Linked DNA regions of Lepisosteus oculatus. The protein of the gene in region 2 interacts with the protein of the main gene of each other region in a pairwise test. Links are inferred from orthologs where the notes say so. Each region holds a gene or a part of one and is shown on either strand. Other genes may lie near its edges. The genes, in order: larp6a and itsn2b.

Region 1 (12,435 bases), on a different chromosome or scaffold from region 2:
GGGGGACTTGCGGGTGTTGGGGGACTTGCGCTGGGTGGCGGGGCTGGCACGGGGGCTGCTCCAGGGGCTGGATCGGGGGGACACACCTGGGCTGAGGTGGTTGTTCTGCTGGTAGCCGCCACCCCCCCCCGGGCTCAGCTTGCTGGCTGGCCGGGCCTTGCGGGCCACCCGGGGAGAGGTGGGATTGCTCTCGGTCTCCGAAGAGCTGCAGGCCGAGTCGTCGCCAAGGTACTGGAGCTCCCGCACCCTGCTGTTCAGAGAGCGGTTCTTGCGTGGGCCTCCGTCCTCCCACTGCCGGTCTTTGGGGACTTTCTTCTTGGGAGGTTTGGTTCCTATGAGAACCACCTTGAGCCCCGGGGGGCCCCCCTCCTCCTCCTCGCTGGCCATGGCCTCATGGGCCTTGACGGCTGCCTCGATCTCCTCAAACTCCACAATGGCACACTCGACCGTGCCGAGCTGGCTGTAACGCCCGCTCAGCTTCTTAAGGTCCGGCGGCAGCTCCTTCCCCGGCTTGAGGATGCGCACCGAGGAGATAACCCCGTAGGTCCCGAAGGCTTTAAGCAGCATCTCCATCAGCCTCTCCTGCTGGGCGGCGCTGCCGCCCTCACTCTCCACGGCTGGACCCAGCTCGCTGACCAGCAGCATGCGGCTGGGGAGGTTCTCGCTGGGGAAGACGGGCACGGCCGCCTTGCGCCGCACCTTGCGGCCCTCCTCGTTCAGCTCCAGCAGCTCGGAGTGGCGCAGGGCGTAGGCCGTCGTCCGCCAGTCCCTGGTCAGGTGCTTCACCTGTGAGGGAGCACAATTCACCAAAGATTACTTCCGGCCCTGCGCAGGGCGTGAGCTACAATTCCACAGTGCTGGGCTTGCACTTTATTTTAAAAGGAATACAAAGCGGGTACATGCAACTGATCACAAGGCTCATTCATCTCCCTGTGCAATAAATGCCAACATGTCAGAGAGCTACACTAAGGTGAAGAGGAGGCTTCACTAATGTTAGATAGGGATTTTGCTTAGCACATTTGCCAAGTTACTTTAAATAATAATAAACTTACACTTATATAGCACTTTTCTGGACACTCCACTCAAAGCGCTTTACAGGTAATGGGGACTCCCCTCCACCACCACCAATGTGCAGCCATAGTGCACATCAGCGATCAGTGGGGAGGAGAGCAGAGTAATGAAGCCAATTTATAGAGAGGGATTATTAGGAGGCCATGATTGGTAAAGGCCAATGGGAAATTTGGCCAGGATGCCGGGGTTACACCCCTACTCTTTTCGAGAAACACCCTGGGATTTTTAATGACCACAGAGAGTCAGGACCTCGGTTTTACGTCTCATCCGAAGGATGTGTAAATGGGGTCCATTATCATGTCTGATGGCTGCTGGGGGCTTGATTTTCTTCACACCCCCACGGAAGCCTAACTGACAGACTGGATTCTCCAAGCAGCAGTGCGGTTGTCCAAGTGCCCCCCAGGGAAAGTTTAGGATCAGACTGCTTTGGCTCCAGACTTTGCCAGCAGTCCTGCAGCCTCTTGGGCACTTGGCACTGCGAGGGTACAGCAGAGAGGGGCGCACCTCTCCTCCAGCCGGCAGAGCCCCACAGCATGCGGCATTGGAAAAAAAAAAATCACGCATGCGTTGGGCTCAAAGGCGGCGAGGTCAGTTTGGCCACAGCCCCCAGTTCTCCTGTACACAGCTGCAGAGCTTGCAACCGAGCAAAAAAGCTGGACTCCATATTTTGGTTTTAGTTAGGTTTAACAAAACTGATAATTAAATGGTACAATAGTCCTTTACAATCAGTTACTTTTCGTAGTGCAATACTAATACAGACTAGAAATAATTTAAGCACTTCCCAGTTCCTGTAATATAGTGGCCAATAAGACCAGGCCTGTTAAACTGAGGGGCCCACTTGTGGCACAGGGTACCTTTTTGAAGGAGGTGAGCAGCTTGACACTGACGAAGCCCAGCTTGTTGCGGCGGACGTGCTTGAGCAGAAAGGCATCGTGCTCCAGGTTCTCATCCGACAGGTAGTACTCAATCTGCGCAATGAGCTTCTGGGTCAGCTCGGGGTCGGGGGGCTGCCAGCCGTCCTCCTCATTCTCTCCTCCGCTGGTCCCCGCGCCACTGGCCAAGAGAACAAGCTCTCACCACAAAGCAGCACTTTCCAGACTCAACCCGCAGTGAGTCTGTACCATTTGTCCACTGAGCCAAGTATTTAAACTTTCAGTTCTTCAACCAAGGACTTCCTTGGCTCTTGAGAGGCACAGCATCCTCCTGCTCATGTTGAGATCCCAATAACTTCATTGGCTTTCATCACAGCCAGCACAGGATTTGTAAACCATTTAAAAATGAAGACGACACGGAACTGTTCAGTACCTTGCTTATTCAGAAAAAGAAAACCCAGATTTTTGATTAAATGATTAAAAGCACTAACTTTCCATTGTAGAGGCTGCATTTCCTATTACCTTCTTGCTGGTTCGGCACCTTGAATAGATGAACAGAACCCTCATCAAAAATTGGAAATACATTTCCAACACTATGCAAATGCTGGTAATCGCAGTACTATGAACATCTACAGCTCACAAAACTACAAACGATGCATTACCTGCACACATGTAACTGCTGCATGTTAAAAACATCCATCTCTAATATTTAAATCTTCAGAATTTTACAATAAACCAGACATTAAGATTTTTAATTTAAAAGCACTTGGTTTGGTCAGTTAACTTGAACACGTTCACTACTCAAAGACCTGGAGCTATAAAGGCAGAAATGAAGTTGCTTTCAGGACTTCAGTATCAACAGCATGAGTACCTTCAGACTACTTCCCCTCCCATCTTAAACTGCTCACCCACTCTGCTGCTGTGTTTATACACCTCTTTGCCAAGTACACAGGGACTTCCCACACCTGCCAGAATCACAACGGGTCCCAATCCTACTGGGAGAGGGAGGAGGGAACTCAGTTGAACTGGCAGCCCAGTATGTGATCTCCTGTCCCAGCCTGAGGAACAGTGAGTCTGTCTCCCAATAATGTTCCTTCTGTCTGCAGTATATGTAAATATTTTATGTCATTGTTGTAAGTGTCTGTAGATTAGTTATTTTTTGTTTCATGTGAATTTCATTTTATTTGCTTTGGCAACACTGACTGTACCCATCAGCCATGCTAATAAAGCACCTTGAATTGAATTGACTCCTCAAACAGTTCACAGGACTTTATCTGGATGAACCAAAAGCTTTAATTCACTAGGTTCACCCCAAGGTAACTGTACACACCAGGCACACTGCCGTAACACTTGCTCGTAAAATCAGTTCTGCCCACGACGAAAATCGATAGAACTGGGAGGAGGGCTACTGCAGAAAATGCTTTTCAGCTCCCTTTCTAAATACAACAGGACAGGCCTGCCTGAGGTGAGACCAGACACTTCGACATCAGTGGACCTAGGGAGCTCTAATTAACGTCTGGGGTAGAGAGCAGAACCAGCTGTGCAATTACTGTTCATTACAGCAACAGACCGGAGCCTCCCCCACAGCGCCTCCGGCTCCTGCGATCACAAGACACCACAAGCGCAACGTGAGCGACAGATTCTACACGGACGCCATGTGATAAATCAGATGGCTAACAGCTCTTCAGATTTCAAAGCCCGACATATTTCACTCCAATCCAAAACCAATTATACTCCCTGCCAGTACATGTAATCATGAACTAAGTTGCCTGTACTTTGAAAGGTTACTAGCATAACCAAAAGATGACGCGTTACAAAAGCTTCGAATAAAGCTGCTGAAGTCTCCTATTCAGTAAGAAGGCTCCGTATTCAGTGGTCTAGCCTGTTTACTATTTTGCTCGCCGCCATGGCGCAGCTATTTGAATTAAATACTTGGTCCTACACACTTAAGTGTGGAAACGGTCACTCCCCGGTCATCCTACAGAGACGCCTCTCATCTGCGTCATAGCTGTTTGATGACGTCGTCAAATTCAGGCTTATACTGCATCTCCAGTAGGATTAGCTACTTAAAAACGCTCTGGGACTCAGGGGGATACCCCCCCCCACATAAAAGGGAAAGGATTCGAAATCTGTAGTAGCACCAACCCCCTTCTTGCACAGCCTGTTGCAGTTGGTGTAGAAGAATGCTGATGTGCGCCCTTGAGGATTAAACTGCCGGGGTGGATCTCTCCCGTTTACCAGAACACCCCTAAACAGGACGACGACCTAGTGTACCACTGAGGTGCTGTAAATCCCGAGCATTCACACCTGGAGAACTCGTTGAAGTAACCAATATGAAAAGCTTAAGAAACAGGAAGGATTCTTCAAGAACGTACTGAATAAAAACAGGGTTTAGGGCACCGCATGGTTTTGGTCTGCTACAAGGTGAAAATGCGAGCGCTGTCTTGGTTTATGGTCTGTCGGATCTGGCGATGCTCATTTCTTTTACGCAGCACAAAGCATAAACTGTTTATTCCCCAAAACAGTTTCCTACCCACTACAGGCCCCATGCAAAACGCCATTTAAACAGCTAGCAGATATGCAACCTCAGTTAAAACACGCAGCATCGGAGACGTAAATGCTGCCAATTTAATCAGATTAAATGCTGAACAAGAAAACAATTGCGCCATACTAAAAATAAACGCTTGCTAGAGGCACCGCAATTTCACATCTGGATGCTCTAAGTATATTCGGTTTAGAAACGACTAAAGGTTACAGCAGAAGACACCGCTACAGAGCGCTCGCCCTCAGATGTCATCCGACGGCGTTCGCTTTGCAAGTTTAGTGGTCAACCCGCCACATTGGGCAAGATATGCGTTTATACAGGTGGTCGAAGAGGAGATCCCCTCCAGACACTCCCGGCGTTTAAAAACTGTTCGTACCCTTTTTATAGTTTACATCGGCAACGCATTTACACCCAGACTAAACGTAACAAGTGTTAAAACAACTGGTTTTACTGTGTGCCTGTTTACAATTACGGCAGTTACACTGATTTTACAATGACAACAATATACCTGGACTTATCGTGTCTGCCCATTTCGTCCTCGCTACAGCTGCCTCCTCTGAAATACAGGTGATCGGGGACCAGGTCGCCCTCGGGGTCTTCGTCCTCCGCCGCTTGGATAGCCACGCGGATTTTCACCTGGGTCCCCATCTCCTGGAGCTGTTGGCCCCGCGGCTCCCACTCGGACCCGGGCTCCGGGCGGCTCGGCGTCTCCATCGCCGGGCTAGCGAGCCCAGCCTCCGCCAGAACCGCGAAATCCCCGGGTTCCTCTTTCGCGGTTGCCTCCTGACCGACTTCAGGTGCGGACGTGCCTCGCTCGGTGCTCGCACAAGCCACCGCGTACGTGCTCCGTGAACCCCAGGTCTTGGGGGACAAGCGCTGGGGGAACGCGAGCGGAGCCCCGAGGTTACGCTCAAAAGCCTGCCAGAGCTCCCAGATTCTCCCTAAAGGAGATCCCGGGGGCGGCGAGGAGGCGACTGCTAGCGAGACGCACCTAGTGTTAGGGGAAGAGGAGGGGACGGGAGCGTCTTCTGCTCTTACTTCCTGATCTGTAAGAGGCTTTCTCCCTTTGAAACGAGCCCTGGGATTGGGCAGCACCGTCTTTCTGCACTCATCCCCAACCCACCAGCAAAAGCCGAGCTGAAACCAGGGGGGAGGCAGGAGCAGCGAGAGGCAGCGCAGAAACGCATTTACCAAAGCGTGCATCTTGTCTCTCGGTGCTCGGGGGAGACGACTGCGGCCGAGCGTGTCTACACGCACGCAATATAAGTAATGTAGGGGGGCCCTCACCGCGTTAAGTGGTTGCAACATACAACAAGCGAGAAACGGGCAACGCGCCAATCAAAGGTGCCGATCCACACAATGTTTCGCAGACCTGCAAATTGGATAATGAGATTTCATTTTAAGAGCAGAGCGGGATTGCGAAGGGATTTGACTGTGCTGGAGACTAAAAATAAATGTAGATTTCAGATTCTTGGTTTGAAGACGCCTGTGGACACAGGGTAGGCCTAATACAGGAGTCACATTTTATTCATTTGGTAATCTTAATCTAACCTGGTTGTCAATTAGCGATTTTATTACTCACAACAGATTAAAAAAAGCTTGTCAATGCCAGCCGGAGCGTTATAAAAATCACCTTATCAACATGGAGATATCGTGGACGTTTTGTTGAATGTAAACAGAAATTTTCTTAGTCTTCTTGAGGCTTAGAAGAATAAACGAATAAGATCGACCTCTAGATCAAATTGCTGTTATCTGTTTTTTAGAATAATTTCAAATATTTTTAAATTATCAAGAAGCAGGAATAATACCAGAATTATACATTATTTCCTTGAATGTGTAATTTTAAATTTGACCACAATTTAAGACTCAGAGCAGGAAACAAGTCTTTACACCAAGGGTGTTAGGAGTCTTCTCTTAAAGAAAGTGCCATTGAGTCTCTATTTAAAGAGAGTACCCACCACCCCAAAAGCAGGCTCTTTGAGTTTGTCTCAGTTTAACTGAAAAATTTGCAAGACAGCTCTTGGGAAGATCATTCTGCACATTCATTTCTATATCTGAAGGCTGTTACTTTTTTATCTTGTCTTATGTCTTCTGCTACAGACAAAACTGAAACTGATAAGTCATCCCATTTGAGACCTGAATCTAACAACCAATTCCTATGATTCACTGCCTGTGATATGTTGTTAATAGCTGTAGTGCTTTGAATTCCTGATAAAGGGATTATTTTAGTCAGCACATGTCCTAAGTGTGGTAGCTCTCAGTATGTCAACAAAAACAGAACACTTTCAGCACTGAATGAGGTAACACATTTGCTCTGCCAGGCCAGTGACTCACTACAGCAAACTATCCTGCTGACTGTCCTTCTCTGGAGGGTTGGCTGGGGTGTGAGGGGTGGGGCAGTGCCCCAGAGGGGTGTGAGGGGTGTGGCAGTGCCCCAGAGGGGTGTGAGGGGTGTGAGGGGTGTGGCAGTGCCCCAGAGGGGTGTGAGGGGTGGGGCAGTGCCCCAGAGGGGTGTGAGGGGTGTGGCAGTGTGGTAGTGCCCCAGAGGGGTGTGAGGGGTGTGGCAGTGCCCCAGAGGGGTGTGAGGGGTGTGAGGGGTGTGAGGGGTGTGGCAGTGCCCCAGAGGGGTGTGAGGGGTGTGGCAGTGCCCCAGAGGGGTGTGAGGGGTGTGAGGGGTGGGGCAGTGCCCCAGAGGGGTGTGTCAGTGTGGCAGTGCCCCAGAGGGGTGTGAGGGGTGTGAGGGGTGGGGCAGTGCCCCAGAGGGGTGTGTCAGTGTGGCAGTGCCCCAGAGGGGTGTGAGGGGTGTGAGGGGTGGGGCAGTGCCCCAGAGGGGTGTGTCAGTGTGGCAGTGCCCCAGAGGGGTGTGAGGGGTGTGAGGGGTGTGGCAGTGCCCCAGAGGGGTGTGAGGGGTGTGAGGGGTGGGGCAGTGCCCCAGAGGGGTGTGTCAGTGTGGCAGTGCCCCAGAGGGGTGTGAGGGGTGTGAGGGGTGTGAGGGGTGTGGCAGTGCCCCAGAGGGGTGTGAGGGGTGTGGCAGTGCCCCAGAGGGGTGTGTCAGTGTGGCAGTGCCCCAGAGGGGTGTGAGGGGTGTGAGGGGTGTGAGGGGTGTGGCAGTGTCCCAGAGGGGTGTGAGGGGTGTGAGGGGTGTGGCAGTGCCCCAGAGGGGTGTGAGGGGTGTGAGGGGTGTGGCAGTGCCCCAGAGGGGTGTGAGGGGTGTGGCAGTGCCCCAGAGGGGTGTGAGGGGTGTGGCAGTGCCCCAGAGGGGTGTGTCAGTGTGGCAGTGCCCCAGAGGGGTGTGAGGGGTGTGGCAGTGCCCCAGAGGGGTGTGTCAGTGTGGCAGTGCCCCAGAGGGGTGTGAGGGGTGGCAGTGTGGCAATGCCCCAGAGGGATAGCACTGGTCTAAGCGCAGACCTGGGACCTGCCCGTACAGAAGACAATATCATAGGACTGAACTGACGTCTGAGGTTTCAGACCTCGTTAACATTCCAAGTTGTCTCTGCTTGTCTGGGCTGTAATGGGTGTTTATGTTTCCTCTGCTCTGATCTCTTTGCATCATGAAGAAAGTATTGCTGTGTCACACATAAAAAAGTAGACACTGCATGAAATTCTGGAAAGCTAAACAAAAAAACATCTTGTTTAATTTAGTTTTCATTTGCAAACAGTTGCATGTTGATCCAGTTTAATTGACATATAGATGCTGTGTTATTAAAAGAAAAGCCAGTTTGCTGAACAGAGTTTTCTGAACATTTAGGACTGTAATATGGCCAGCGGTGGGTGTAGAAGCTTTGTGATGTTGTATAAATTATTAGCAGATGTACATTCATTTGGAAAACTGAGAAGCAGTGTGTATAGAATCACTAAAAACATATTTTCATAGTTTGAATATTCTATCTATTCTATTTGGAAAATGTATTTTGTATTAAAGATACAATACCTTGTTTAATAAAACATGTAGAAATTTCATCACTGTGATCTACTTTCAGTACTGTATTGAATTTTTAAAACATCTGTTTTTGTTAGCTAAAGCTGCACAGCTCTCGTGTCTGAAATGTACAGTATATGCTATTCAAGGTCTTTTTGTTTTGGGAAATGTTTTGACTGAGAGGTTCCTGGTGCTTTCATGTGCTGTCATTCCTGCAGCACAGAGGAGCAAAGATCATTGTGAGGCTGCCGGAGAGCCGATTTATGTTTCATAACAATCAGTCAGCTTTTTGTACAAACCTTTCTCTAGTGGTTATGAAATATTAGCAGATTTCTAAACATACTCTTTACATTTCAGAATGAGAAACATGATAACAATTGTGAGACTATAATTTAAAGACTCATCCACACAGCTTATAACATATATTTACATATATTTTATTATTTAATTCTACAATTAATTTTATCATATATGAACTTTTTCAGGAAATGCTATGTAATTAAAATTTAATTTGGGTTACTTGAACTGGTTTCACTGAGAGTAGGAAACCTATTTTCACATTAACAAGATATATTATAATAAAGTAAAAAAAAAATACTGAATTATTTCTGATTTTGCTCTAAGTGATTATGAAGAGGCAGGCCTGACCCTTGATGCTTTGACTGCATTTCATTTTTAGGTTATTAACAGTCTGATTAGTTTTACAGAAGCATATATAGGACAGCTTTCTGTTTTGTGTTTTGGTAATGGGTTAATAAAACAAAGTGTATTCCCTACGCAACTGGGGACATTGATGGAAGCTGAGTTGTAGACACTATATTGATATCAGAACACAAAGTTAGTGAAACAAAAAGTGAGGTTAATGTTGAGATACAAAGTCATGTTAAAGTCAATCTTAACTCCTGGGTTCTTCACAAATCGACAGGCTGCTGTGTTAAAAGCTGGATTTCTGAAATTCATTATATTTCCCTGGGTGTTGTCGTAGTGCTTTAAGGAATGTACCTGTAACATTTATTTTCTTAATTCATTGTGTCCTTCAAGGGGACACCTCTCTTCAGTGGGGACCTTGGGGCTAATGTCACTCCCCACAGAAGAAAGAGCCATTGGAGTTTATGATTGCCCATGCTGTGAGTGTCATACTGTGGATGAACTGCATTGTCTTTAGCTGTAGTGTGAATATAGTAGAGGTGTACCTGTGAGGCTTAACAAGAAATGTTGAAATATGATGCCAGAGATTCCATGAGACAGACATGAGAGCTCGGTGCTAGGGGTATTCCACGGACCAGTACAAATCAGTCTAAATGTCAATAGATAGGGTGCTGGCTCAAAGAGCATTTTGGAAGTTCTGAAAGAGGATCTGCTGTGCACTTAAACCTTTTTGGGATGTAATGGTTATGACTTGCGCAGGTTTGTCATCCTGCTGCACCAAGGTGGCACCATTAGAAATTCAGTTTCTCCAAGCAGTGGAAACCCACCTGGCGTGCCCAGTCTGGACCGGGCCTGAACTCACTGTGACACGACTGGCCGAGCAGCAAGCCTGGCGGACCTGGGCCTCTCAATGTCTGCTAAGACCGTCTGTGCACCTCCAGGATTGCAGTGACATAAGAGAGGCTTGCCATCCCTCTGACTGCTTCTCTTGATTCGCCAAGGCGCTGTGGAGGGCGCACCTCGTCAGACGGGCGTGTCGTAACAGCATGCATGCAGCACAGGGCTTGTAGCTGGAAAGGCAAGTTGAAAGCTTGTCTGAGTGTAAAAAGGGGTTAGAACAAAGTTTAATTACCAGGTGCTTCATCAGTGCTTGAATTGAAAAGCCTTAAAGACCTTTTGGTGAGGTCACCTAGTATGACGTCATTTACTCTGTCTGTGATATCCAGGCCTCTTCTGAAATATATAGGGAGATAGCCTTAGGGTTTGGACTGTTGGATCCAATGAGACTTTATTAGTATGTTTTTTTTTTAATGCAAACTGCTATAGATTTTCAACTTGTTGTTATTCATTTGGCTGAGAAGATTAAGTTCATAAATGTCACCGAAACACTCATTTTGTGACTGTTGTTCACCCTGTACATTCGGTCAATTGCCATTAATAACTTCCTACATGTAAGTTTATTTTGCAAAAGGCATGATTTGTTGATTAAGCTAATTGACCATGGTGTTGAATGACAGTGCAAAACAACTGCACTACAATATTGTCATCAGACTGGTCCCAATACATAAATTGCAGCTGTGAAAAACGCATATCCTAAACTCTTCAAAATTCTCTTTCATCTGCGGATGATGCATATGGGACCAAGTTTGAACTTCTGTCCCAAAACAGAAACTTTAAAAGATTGGCACCAGCTGATCCAATTTTCGTGCCCTCTCTAACCAGTGAAGGTTTCCTAACAAAAATGATTATATTAATTGAATAAATGTGTCTTATTGTCTTACTTCTCGATGCAATTATGATCTTCATTCTCTCCACTGTGATATGCAATGGTTTTAAACAGATTCTGTGGAGCGCCTGATGTACGGAGTGCTGAACACAACTGAATGAACCCACTGAGCTACATGCCTGCTCGCAGACTGCTGTGTCAGTGCTCTTCCTGTGGGGCCGGGTTACGCCCACACCATATGTAACACTGTGACTTCGCGGAGGCGAACTGGGGAATTTCCTTCCTCCTACTCTCTCCAGCGCTGCCCGTCTCCCTCCAACTCTTAATTCCCCTCCCCCTCTCACGTTTGCTGTTTTCAAATACCAGGAAGAATTTTGAAGGAATCTCTACAGTCTGGCTGTTTGAATTCTGTGATATCTTCACAGCTTTATCATTATTTATTAATGACTTGTATGCACTGTGGTATTGTATTCTGTATTATTTTACATTTGTTTCAAAAGTGTTTTACTTCCTATTTGTATATTTTTTAATGGCAAGCAGAAATGTGCACAAATTCAAACGAGGTGATCCTTCCATTTTCAAGATTATTAGCTGTCTAGAAATATATTCAAACAAAAGATCTAGGTGTTTTATAAATATGAGAGATAGTAACTGACAGATGCATTTTGAAAAAAATTATCAGCATTAACAGACAGTTACAGTACACAAACAGATTGACATAACAGTGTTTTTTTACTTGGATCTTTTTAACTGTTTCTTGTAATCTAGGAGTGTTTGGGTTTGCTGTTGTGGTTCCAATAAAAATTTAAAGAAATAAAGTTTTGTCTGCCCACATTTTATTGAATTCTTCACTTCTTACCTTTTGCACATAAACACCTTTTTTACTGGGTTACCAAGAAATTGTATTCATGGGAGATTTACACTGTATCACACACTGCCAAAACAAGCATTACTGGTTTTCCAGATTTCACACACTTGGTTATGGAAGCAGTAGGCCTGAATGAGTGAGTTTTGAACTTAGTAGCCAGCTGTTCCAAGGATCTCATCTAGCCATTTCTTGAAAGAGGCCAGGACTATATGGCTGGGGAGCCTGTTCCACACTCCCACAACTCTTTGGGTAAAGAAGTGTCTCCTGTTACCAGTTTTAAAAGCACTTCTGTGTAGTTTCCACTGATATTTTTCTAGTTCATATTCAACAGCTTTAAAAAACTGTTTAAACAAACACTGTAAGGATTTCAGATGACTTATTAAATAAAATAATTTTGAGATATTGTATGGGACCAAATTCTGAATACTCTGGTCCTCCCCTCCCCAATTCTCTTAATTGAGCAGATTACTTGCTTAATTGCTCAATAATGCACAGCTGTTCCCGATCTTTAGAACCAAGTGACCTATAAAATTAACTGGAATGGGGCTTGTCAGGACCCATTGGATGCCCCTGCTCTAAAGGCTTGTAAAAAACGTATTCAAAGAGCTGCAGTATAACTGGCTCCAGTGCCTGTTAAAGTGTGTTTCATCTGCCACTGAATCACTGAGTGATATACAGCTCTTCATTCCCTGGTCACACTCACCATCTGAGTCAGGCAAGATATTTATAGACAAATTCACCCCAGGGGTCTCTGACAGGCCAATTCACCATACATACGGTAATAAA
Region 2 (12,653 bases):
AATCTCTTCTTTATAATATCAAAATTGACTACTGGCAGGGACACTGGAAAATCTAACTTCACTTTAACATCCTTTACAGGCTCACGGGAAATCTCACCATCCGGGTTCTAAATATAAAGAAATTTCAACCTAGTGGTTACTTTTTCCCTGCAATGCATTTCAATAAATTTCAACATAATACAACAACAGTGCCTTGAAAATGTATTCACCTCCTGGAAGTAATACATTCTGAAGAATAAAGAAAAACCATTAGGAAAAAGAAAGTGCTTTATGAAATGATAAAAATCAACAGTATCCCAATATAGAAAAGGAGTACTGAAACTGAACTGCAAGCACCATTTAAAAAGTAATAATGCAATGTAGGCTAAAATGTTATTTCACTACTACATCAGTTAAAGAATCATTCAGGATGAGGTCAAACGTATCTGTAACAAGTGATAAACAACTAGACGTTGAAAGGGAAATTGCAGATGTACCAGGTGTATTTCTCTCAGGTGTTCACTAAGGAGAGTGTCAACAACATGCCTCAGGCAGCAGGATGGTGTTCTTTATTAACCAGTTTTTGTGTAGAAGAAGCAAGTGTTTCAGCTACCAGACGGACTCAAGAATAAATAATCTCCAGGGTCTGAGAGCATCTTACCAACTGTACTCAAGGGAATAAAAGATGCCACTCAGACATCATTGATGCCACTCTTCCATGTACCCATGGACTCGAGAACAGCTATTGAAGGTCTCATCCACATGAAGGACAACAAAACTGACCCACATGATTATAGACCAATACGTCTGACCTGTTACATGCAAGGCTACAGAAACAATTGTTAGAAAAAAACTAGAGGTTGGACCGTATAGAAATAACACCCTAGGAGATAGCCAACAAATGTAGAAATGGTAGTTCCTAAATAAAGTATTAAATATTAAATATACTTTAAGTAGGCAACACCAGTAATCAATACACACAGAGCATAAAATATGTTTAGGCTTCCAGAAGGCCTTAGATAAAGTTAATCATTTATGGGGAATTCTTAATTTATATGTTTTATTAAACAAAGGAGGCCAATCAGCCCATCTAACTCATTTGACACTTAGTAATGAATCGATCCAAGGATGCTCTTGTCCGAGCACAAAATCTTCTACCATAATGTCCACCTACCTCAGATTATAAATGTATTTTGCCACACACCCAAACAGAACACCTCTGTACAGGGTTCAGGCACTGCTGATACATGAACAGTGACTCCCATCACAGAGATACTATTTTGCAGATATTTCAAAGTTACTAATGACATCACAGGTCTTACTAACCCTTCACTTAACATCTTGTGTTTGCTGTTGCTGAAGAAATGTACAGGACACTTATGCTACAACAGGATGGATGAAATAACAGTAAGATGCCATGGAAGCAAAAGTTATTAAGAGCTTTAATTATAATCTGCACTATAGTCATTTGAAAAGTTAAATTCAGAGCTTTAAAATATTAACGGCACAAAGACAAAAGCAAGACAGAAGGGAGTCCCACCTGAGGTCTCTTCACTCCTTTTCCAATTTGCTGTTCCACCCACAGATTCTGATCCTCATCTTGGCTATTTGATCTTTCATCCTCACTACCGCTCTCACCTGTGATTTTCCCAAGGAAAAGTGTGTAAGGCATAGAACATGACAAGACAGCCAGGTCTTTCCAAAAGCTACATTTTTTCCAAAATACAGTAAAAACATCCAGGGAACAGGGGGAAGGTTAAGTGCGTGGAAAGTCTAAATAACAGCTTCCCTGTAAAACATTGCTTGTAAATCACAACATGCATTTTATTACTGCAGCATTGCAATGGACTCTACACACCTAGTTCCCCCAGACAACCTGATCTGCACAGTGTATTTTGCTGCTAATTTCTGTTCATTTTGACAAATGTGAAAACTGATGACATCAGAATGCCGATAAACCACGGAGACTAGGGTCCACATAAAACAGCGGTCTAGTTCAACAGAGGATCAAACGTCATTACCCTTTAAGTTTGCGCAATGTAAAAAACAAACAAGTTTTCACTTTCCGATACCCTCCTAAGAAACAAATTAAGGACTTGGTCTGATGTACCCACTGTCCAATGCGCAAGTAAAAATTAACAAAAAAACAATGTTGTGACAGTTGAGTCAGAGCTGGGAAATTAAACCGGGTTTGCTGGGACACTAGCTTATCACCAAACCTCCAAAATCTCACGATTCTATAAACGGCCATTCACCTTATAGCTTTAATCCTGTTAGAATAACGGTACTCACACATCAATTTTTATCATTTAGAACTTCGCCAGATTTGTGAAAGTTTACTATACAGCCTCACTCACTCATCTTTTCAGCTATTCTCTGTCTCAGGGTCTTCGGTTTAGGTGCAAATGGAATTCTCCGCTGGTGGTCATCGGGTTCATCATCGCTGTCTTCCTCCTCTTCATCTTTTAACACTGGACTGCTCCCGTGTCTCGTGGCCAGAGGAATATAGTCCTGCCGTGCTCTAGCCAGCTTACGTTGCCTTCTTGCAGCCTCAATTTGTAGAGCATCAGGGATATCACCTGCGCTGATCAAAGTTTTACACCGTGTGTAAAAATAAACTACACCCAAAAGCCAGCAGCTAAAAGACTACATGCAAATTACAGAAACTTTAGAACACATTACACCTATTAAGTTCTTCATAAGCCGTTGATTTAGGAGATTCATCTTACTTGCTATATACATACAAGGTGTCAAAAGCCCCCACTGCAATCTCACATATGGATGTCTGAGAAAGGAGTTCAAGAAACCAACACTTTTTTGGTTTTTGGTTTTATGCCTCAGTATTTGTCTAGCCACAGTGCAGGTAGGCGAGTTAAGTTCAGTCTGGTCTGTAAACTTTTTTTTTTTACAAACTAGCTTCAGAAAGACGAAGCATTGAAATACACGCCTCTAAACCTCCATGGAATATTATCCTGGACACTTGTCGAAAACACTTTTCCGGAATGGAAATTTTAGATGACAACGATAGAGCAATACTGAAGACCAATTCATCACTTACTTTCTAAAAGATTATAAGAATGAGGAAAAAATGCTCAAAATTTCTGAGAAACCTCCAACAAACCTGGATCAGACACTGAAGAGCTGGAAGAACTAGATTTTTGGGAGCTTGTATCATCGTTGCTTCCATCCTGAATTTTTTCACCTTCGGGTTTATCGTCCCCACAGTCACTCTGTGAAACAGGACCCTTGGGGCCTATAAAACACAAGCAGGAACTGTCAAACTCACATCTTTTAATTTTGAAGAAGCAATCTTAACCCCCATTCCATTCCAAAAAAAACATTTACAGAACTAATGTTAAGTCAGTTACTTAGAAATAAAAACATTACTTGCGCAGGGGACCATATAATTCTCTGTTTTGCTCATTCTTGATGCCAGTTCTTTACCAATCAACTACAGAGCAATTAATCAATAGTGATTTCATTTTGCCTCAGTATAACATGCTCAGTAGTATGACTGTAACATAATTTCACCTATTTCCCCATCTTGCCTTTCGCTAATGTTAATAATAAAATGTGAAACTTAATTTTCAGTGAAGAGCTTTGCTTCTCTTGAGATGTTTTTTTCCCCCTAACTGAGTGAGGTTTGTTTAGTTTTGAATGCTCCAAGAGTATTCAGTCCAATTCAGAGTTTGTTTAAATGGCATTCAGCTGAGCTCATCTTATGGCCTGTTTTGAGTAGTGATTGTTTTTGCACTCGGTAAAGTGCAGTTTATATGGAGAACAGCATGAAAACCAAATGTCAATTGGGAAATAAATCAAACTGCAACAGAATAACAGAAAAATTCATTAAGACCACGCCAAAACTATTTTACACATACAAATATCTACTATATTTATGGTATATTTACTATTTGTTTCTCAGGGGTTGAAAGACAAAGGGTTGCAAAAGCTGCAAACAGTGCAGAGTCTATTTAAAAAAGATGAGCCAGATGAATTTCAAAATCAAAGACATAAAATAAGGCCACTGAACATAAAAAGGTTATTAACAGAAAAAGAGGCAGTTTGGCCTACATAGCCCACTGGGTGACTAGTAGCTAAGTGACCTGAGGATCTCATCCAGCCATTTCTTGAAAGAAGCCATGTTGAAGAAACCCGCTTCAACAACATGGCTGAGTAGTTTGTAACAGAATGCCAAACAAAACGCAATGAAACTCATTTCCAGTTAGAATGCACTAACTCTGGTCCAGCAACACCTCTTTGAACAGCAAACAGGTTTTTCTTGGAGGTCTCCCATTTCCAGGATTAACCAAGGCCAGACTACTCAAATCATGTTGGCTTCTAGACTTCTCCATTCAAGACTACGGAAAAAAAAATAATTTTGCATCTAACACAATGAACAAATTACTACACATTATTATTGCAGTGTAGTCACAAGCGAACCAATTCCCCCTAAAAATAAGGATGTTAACCAAGAAAACAAACCTCAGACCACTTTCACACAAACTCAGTTAAGGTATGTGAAGTGTGAATCTGCACATTGCCGGTGGTGGAGATGAGTTATCATTACCTGTAAAGTGTCTGGAAAAGCGCTATATAAAATGTAACAAATTATTTCTTTTTTACCACAGTTGAACTGTACCACCCCATAAAAAGTAGCAAACTTTGCTCGAATCCAAAGACCAGGTTTTCTATCACCCCAGATTTCTACAATGATGAACGTTTCAAGAAACGATGACATCATTTCAGGAAAATACACAGTGCCACCGAGCCCTGTTACGTCGAACAGCTAACATACACATCCGTTGTTATGAAACCATAAGAACGCAGTTGGCAATTTACCTTGTGAATTAAAAGCGGGAGGATTGATCTCTTTTGTTCGCGCTTTGAAAACGACGGCCTTGGCAACAGGCTTTTTAACCTTGAAGTCATCTTCGTCCACTGAAATGAAAATACACCAGCAGGTTAGGAAAAAAAAAAAACGTGCACATTAATTGAATGCAAAGAACAGAAACGAAAAACAACAAAACAATGTCAATAGCAGGCTTTTGATGACATTTTCTATAATGCAATTATAGATCAGAATGGAACATACGTTATATTTGAGTCCCTTTTTTGGCTGCATGGTTCAATAATGACTCCAGCACAGGTCTGAGCTCTAGGCATGATCAGCGATGACCCTCCCTACTGTGTCTTGGCTTAAACAGATATTCTTCGTTTCTGCTTCACCTGGGTTATGCTCGCGACACAGCGACAGCTCGCTAAAATATCAATTCTGTGAAGAGATCCCATGCATGTCATTTGCATCTGCAGAATCTACTGCAGGCTGTCTCCGTGCATGTACCACATCAGATTCACGCAGAAATATAAATACTGGGGCGTACCTTGTTTTTCATCACCGAAACTCAATAGAGTGATTTTATTTTTCGTCAGTTTCTTCTCAGCAGCGTCTTCCGCAGCCGTATCTTCGCTTACATTTTCTGTGTGCGGATTTTGTCCGGCGACTGAATCCGGCCTGGAGCTCCCGGACTCCCGCTTAGACGTGCAGGAAATCCCCCGGCTCTGCGGATACTTCAGTAACCGGGGAGCAACCGAGACCTTCACCTCGTCAGTGGCTTCTCCCTGCTCTTCTTGTGAAGGCTCATCTTCTCCGCTCGAATCTCCTTTCCTCCTCCTGAAGTTTCTCTTTGGTTTCTTACCGAACATATTCAGGTGGGAACTGCAATAATATCTCAACAGTGCGGATCGCAAATGATTATCTTATGTATTTTTTTTTTAAAAAAAGTACTAAGCCTTACAGCATCCCACGTGTATCTCGGTAGTGAAGTAAATGAAAGACTAAAGCACAATGAAACACATTTACATTTTTAAATGCTAAGCAAGTTAGCATAAACCAATTACTCCATCTTCATTTATGGGGGGAAAAAAGTACACTTACAACACTTCTTCCGATTTGCTTCAACAACATTTACGTTTGTACTTTCCGGTTCCCTGCTCTCCGGCTGCATCATGGGTAATGTAGTCCATAAACAATGCGTCGCTCTATTTCTTCCTTCAAGAACTCTGTGGAAATTAAAGTAAACTTGGCATTTTGAAAACCTTCAATAAAAATGTTAAAGAATTAGAACTTTTCATAGAAGAGCCTTTTTGAAAACTAAAGCAAACTATAATTAAAGGACAACGGTGCAGCCAGTTCTTGCTTGTTAAAGCCAAATAGAATTGCATAGCCACAGTTGGGCCCAGAAATCACAGTCCTTAAATATTCCCTCAGGCTGTGAGAGGCAACTTACTTTCTCTCTCCCTCCTACTTATTTAAGAGAAGTTAAGAGATACAGAGCTGTCAACCTATGAGTCAGTGCCAAAAAGAAAACCTCTGAGTTGTCCATGTAGCAGGTTCTCCTCTGTAACGTCTTGATTGTAGATTTCAAGCGTTCAATGACTCTAAGGCAGAGACAGACAAGTGTGCTAACTGAGTAGCAGAAGGGTGATATTCATTCTATTATGATGAGGACTTGGAGTCCTTGAATTTCTTTGGAATAAAACAGACCCAGACATCTTGGTCTTTCTTGGGCAACCAGGACAAAGGTTTTAGGTTTGGCACTTAGGTGCTGTACTTCTAACCTCATGAAGTGGGGACATTGGTCCCTATTCAACAGGCATAATGTTATCACCAAGATCCCCATGACATCCACTTTTCCTGTACATGCCTTGTCCCTGTCCTGGCTCAAGGAAAGTGAATTTTACATATGCATCAGAAACAGGCTTAAAGCACTGAATAATTAAAGTTCAGAGAAGCTGGACCTTGCTGTCTTCTCTTCCTATGGTGATTTCAATAGACATTTTAATCCAATATCCCGAATAAAATGGGCTGTAGAAGGATGCCTTAAGACTCAACAAATAGTACAGTTAATGCTCAAGGGTTCACAGTATGCCTTCTGTATATCAGGAGTCATAGGCTCTGACCTGTCACCCCACTTCACAGCAGAGCAATGGCAGCTCATTGTAGCACAGCTATTCTGTTCCAAGAACAATGGTGTCTCTTTCTGTTTTCATTCCAGCCTTTAACATGGTAAACCAGCTGTTTAGTTGTTCAAGTAGATTGATTTATTACCATAACCCTGCTCTTCAGGTGCTGCTGCTTTAAAGAGACCTTAAAAAACCTGCGGACGCACCAGGTCTCCAGGACCAGGAGAGCCCACCCCATGCTAGTACTGTATATATAGTGGATAAAAAAATATTAGGTTGAAATTGTATGATGTACACACTAATTTGTACATTTGTAAATGATCTAAAGTCTATTACATTGGCACTCCATTAATTACATCACCACAGTTTGAACAATCTTCCCCTTTCTATACTCTCTACTCTCAGTCCATTAACCAGTTCTTAATCCCAAAACTGAAGTTTCCCCAAATGCAACTAACTTTTAATTTGAGAATTTATTTTTATGGGAAACTTTTATCAAAAGCCTTTTGTACATCATAAAGTAAATCATACAGCCTGCTTTACTGTTGTTGCTTATTCAAGAACAAAGCGCTTAGGCAAATACTTTTTACCTTCTTTAACTTGGTTCAATTTTGTCGTCCTTTGTACTGCCAGGCACTGTATTCACTCTTTTTTGTCTTATTCTACTAGATATTATCATAAAGCAGTACATTTTAGTGTGTGTATAATCTCCACCAACTTGAGTTCCAATGCCTTGCAAAGTCAGATTTAGTAATTTCAGTACATTACAGTATATCATGCAGCCACATTTGAATGAATTTATTTTATCATCAAAAATCTGAGATGTGAATAAATATAATTTTAAAACTAAAAAGGAGTATCTGTTGTTTCAACCAATTTTATTTTTTGCACGGATAGCTTTTAAGGCGTAGTCCTGCAGGTATGCTGACAATGCATAGCTTTTTTGCTATTAAGACAGGCTGGGTGTGATGCGTACCTGAACAGTGAGAGGGCAGTATGTGCAAGGTTGCAAAAATGAGATTTCCCCTCCCATCCTGGGGTTGAATAGTAATCAGGCTCCGTGTTGTCAGCCATGTTGTTGGTGTAATACTACAGTGCTGCTTCTAGCAAGCAACAGGTACAAGACTGAAGCACGTTTTCTGGAAATAAACATTGAGTCTCACGTCTAATTACTTATTTTGACCGAGAACATTTGTTGATAATGGAGATTTTCCAGAGTCGGGATTAAACCAAATCCAAAATATTTTTGGTGTCCTTCCACGAAAAGTAAGTAAATTTAAGAATTATGAATACTTCATTATACATATACAATATGTATATAAATTATTTTACCAAGGAACATATTCTATGTATATATACATAAACATAGTTTGGTGCTGGAATTTTATCAGTAAGTAATGTAATTAAAGCTTTAAAATTGAAACTTGTCGGTTACATTGAAAGCGAGGATGTAAACAAGCACGAATACATAGGATTTTTTTAATCTAGTGTTATAAGAAACAGGATTACTTGATATATTGGGGTTTATGTTCTGAATCATTTATTGTGGTTGCAGCAGTAAAGAAATACATATTTGAAAATTTCCTTTTCACGACTCGCTTGGCAGGTTGTTGCGAATTTAAAGCAAGTGTCTTGCAGCAGTAGGCAAAGGAATGAAACTTCATTGCACTGGTTTCTCTGCTTTATATAAGGAATTTAATGAATTTCATGACTTTAAGAAATAATTTGAATAATGATTTTCAATTTTTAGAAACATTTACACACTGTTTTATTGCACTTCTGATGTATGGGTTGTTTTTCTTTTCTTTTTGGAGATTGAATTGTCTTTCATGTATTTTAAAATGTTAAGAAAAAGTGGTCTACATGTTTCGAACCACTTTTCTTAAGCATTTTTTTCGTGTTTAGAGCGTCAGTACAAGAACCCTCACAATTGTAACACGATGAATACTAGGAAATTAAACAATGATAAAGTAATTTGAGTCTAGTGAGTCACTTGAAGGGCATTTGTTCAATTAATGCAGGAATGTACTGTATATAGTGGCAAAATCGACCAGGTTCTTGCATTTTTTTAAAACGTTTTACAGTGAACAGTGAAAAGCAGTTTGATTATCTGGACGTTTTGTTACTTTGAAATCACTTGCTTTCTAACAGGAAACTTTTGATTCTTCCTGGCAAGCTGTGCGAGAAAAAAAAAATCAAAATGAAGACTCATTCGGTTTTTCATTAATGGATCCCATCCTCCCCCTTTTCCTTATTTGACTAAGAGAATCTCGGGTCAGAGATAAAAATAGAATATTCATGAATCTAGTTTGTTGTGTCCCTGCACGGATGACATTTAGATGCACCATACAGTCCTCTTCAATAAGGGGTGGGTGGAAAAGACTCTATTACTATTTCTAAACTATTACTAGTGCTATTAGAAACTGCTATTGGCTTTGTGTTGTTTAATGCAAAAGAGGCTGAAACTGGTTCGAATATTTTAACACTTCACAAGACAGGTGTGTTGTCTTGGGCAGCTGGGCAGCTGGGGACTAAAAAAATTCAGTCATGGCTGAATTTTTTTAACTTCTGAACTTATTACAGTAATTTATCATGCAACACACAATGTTTTAAGTTCCTTGTGTTCCCCTTTTTAGAAAGCCAGAATAAAACAGTGCCTTAAATTATGAGTCTTGTTAGGTTCCTGCATCCTGTTCGTCAGTTGTCAGTTAAAGCGGTCATATCCGATGTTACACGTGGTCAGACCAGGATGTGTATGTGAATATAACCAATCTCTTATTTCTTTGTATCTTCGAGTATTTGAACATATTGGGGAGTTTAATTCAATAATTATTTTGTTACAGGATAACAGTCCACTTTGTTAATACTTTCATAACCTCAAGCCACAAGATGAGAAGGAATTTGCTGTAGATCTAGGATGATATTTTTCCTTTTTCTGCACTGTAATCCCTTTTGGTGTCTCTTTAAACCATCTTCCTTATGAATACAGAACAGTTAGAGTTTGTCTGTTTTGTGTAGGAGTTGTGGCAGCCAGAGAGTGAAGGAGGATGTGTATTTTGACTGATGAATTGCAGTGCGTAAAGGGGTGGATTTATATGATATGAGCATAAGCAACATTACAAATCTAAGGATGCCATTTGGCCCATCTAGCTAGTTTGTTTGCTAGTAGCTAACTCGGGTATTTTATCTAGCCATTTTTTGAGCTATTGGGTTCAACAACATGGTCTCTGGTTTCCAGATTCCCACAACCCTTTGTGTAATATGTGCCTAACATTTTCATTTGTAAGTGCCTGTCTCCTTAGTTTGCACTTGTATCATGTAGTCAATGTTTCACTGATGGCTCTGGTATATTGGTTTGACTTTGTCTGCACCTCAGAGAATTTTAGTTTATGCTGGCTGGTGACTTTCACTGGTGCTACGTGTATATGTGAATATTGTTGCAAGCCTGATGTTGTCACACATGACTTTCAGTTCTGTGGATGACGAATCTTCCCTCATTTTAATCCAAAGGGTGAGATAAGCAAATGAATCATTCTGTTTGTGAACAAGGAGGCATTACTGCGCTGAGAATAAACTACAGAAACTGACAACAGAACCTGCTCATGTTTGTTTCCTAGTAGCTGATTGGTCAAAGCATTTTTACTATCCATTTCTTTAAAGAAGCTAAGTTACTCTCTTCAGTAGCATGGCTAGGTATCTTGTTCCAGACTACCACAACCCGCTGTGTAAGAAATGCTTCTTGTTCTTTGTTTTGAATTCTTATCTATCTAGTTTCCACTTGTCCTTTGGTTCTTGTTTTGCTGTTGGTTCTCAAGAAGTCTGTTTTGTTGTCTTTGTCTGTGCCTCACATGATTTTGAAAACCTCAGTCGCATCAATCAGAATACAGTAAAAAAGAACACCAGAAGCAAAGAAAAATGGCAAAAACAATTTTATCTCCAAGGTGCTTTACATACTTACATGGCTGTAAGTGAGCAGCACTACATACAGTATTTCTTTTGTGTATCTTAATGTAATTTAATATTGAAAATTCTTGAGTTGCTTTGCTTTCATTTTCTGAATAGCTACTTCTGTAGCTCTGATTTGTGATTGTGTTTTTGAAGTCTTTGGTCCAATGATGCTAGAAAAATAATCATAATCACAAGAACTGGTCCTATACCCATTTGAACATGAGTGTGCCCCACAAAGATATTACTTAATAAAGTGCATTGAGCTGTCTTCTCCATAGGAATGACAGGTCATACTGAAAGTGATACTAATATAAAGATAATTGAAGATTATTGAAAGAACAGAATTAAATACAAAATTTCAGAACTCCAAAAATAGCCAATAAGGTCAGTAGGTTTTATGTGGGAGTGATTGCATGAGATTCATTTTAGAGAATGTAGTAGAACACAAAAATAAGATATTGATTTTATATCTTCAGCTGAGATATAGTAATTTATCACAAGCAGGTAGTAACATACCCTGAAACAGATTGATTGATATTACTGCTCAGTGATCCAGCGAGTTGTCTGTAAGAATGTGACATTTTTATTAATGCAGGCAAACATGATTTTTAAACATGAACTGAAACTTATCCTCACACAGTTTGGCAAGTTTGGAATTGTAATCATGTTTCATGGAGTTTACTTTAGCATTGCCTGCATATTTTAAAAAAAAATATTTAGCTATTTTAGCAACTTTTAGTCTCCACACTTTGTTTAAAGTAAACATATTTGAAAAAGATTTTTAGTTGTGTAATGCTGCAGATATGCAGTGATTTTTCTGTAGGACAAAATGCACTTTGCATAACATTTTCAAGGCTGGAATTCAGAGAGGAATACTGATTAGAATGGAAAACAACCAGTTCTACCAGATGTTTTCTCTCAGCATGTAGATCAGGTTTTCAGAGATGCAGGTTAAAGCTAATGTCTGCTTTGTTGGTGTTTGGGATCATTATTAAATGCTGACAGTGGTCTTTTAAACTTTCTTGTTTTTCTAACATTCTTTCAACTAGCTAAATAAATGCAAATGTAGGTATGTATGCAACAGAAAAGCTAGCATTTAGCATTTGTTTGGAGAACAGGAATATGGTAACACACCTAATGGGAGTGTTTGCAGTGGATACATACTGTACATTGAAAATGGCACATTGCCCATACAATAACAGAAGAATCAGTACAACTGGAAGCATTACAATTTAACATCAGGCATACTTTCTATTTAAATTCTATTGTTATATTATTAGTTTTGCCCTTTTACCAGAGGTGTTAATCTGACATGCACTTTAGTGGCATATGTCTTGAAGAAATTACACTGTATTCTCCTATTAAATGATTTGCAGCACAACATTAGTTTTATAATTTATTGTACTGTCAGTGTACTGTGATCAGCAGTATGTAATAACTGCACATCATACATAGCTTGGCTATATGTCTTCAGTCTTTATGATACCGAACTTGTAAGCTTTGAGTTTTCATTCATATTTTCATCTCTTTTTTTCAGAGCATTAATTTTTAATCTAACCAAGCCAACCTGTCTTTAGAAGGATATCATTAAAAGTGTGGAAGTTTTCAGAGTGTTGTATTTTTTTAAAAAATATAGGAAATAATGAATAAAGCTACATGTGTATGCTTACTAGCCTGTGTTTTTTATTGTTAACTGAACTACTTGCCTTTAAATACATCTTTTACATCAATCAATTAGCCTGATTCAAGAAGCAAAGCTGCTC

Evidence for each region.
Region 1: the proteins of itsn2b (region 2) and larp6a interact in a two-hybrid assay, tested with the Homo sapiens proteins (2 studies listed by BioGRID, with this or other methods). The link is inferred for Lepisosteus oculatus from reciprocal best matches to the Homo sapiens genes ITSN2 and LARP6.

What each region holds. Positions count from the first base shown.
Region 1 is NC_090700.1:56,391,061-56,403,495, reverse strand, and holds the start of larp6a (la-related protein 6a), read right to left. Parts: upstream 5,737-12,435; 5' UTR 5,692-5,736; coding exon 4,997-5,691; intron 2,125-4,996; coding exon 1,926-2,124; intron 787-1,925; coding exon 1-786. UniProt on the Homo sapiens protein: Regulates the coordinated translation of type I collagen alpha-1 and alpha-2 mRNAs, CO1A1 and CO1A2. Stabilizes mRNAs through high-affinity binding of a stem-loop structure in their 5' UTR.
Region 2 is NC_090697.1:20,599,762-20,612,414, reverse strand, and holds the start of itsn2b (intersectin-2), read left to right. Parts: upstream 1-8,008; 5' UTR 8,009-8,208; intron 8,209-12,653. Other genes in the region: intron Large complex component GCFC2, read right to left, coding at 1-107, 1,520-1,617, 2,337-2,558, 3,101-3,232, 4,819-4,917, 5,361-5,682.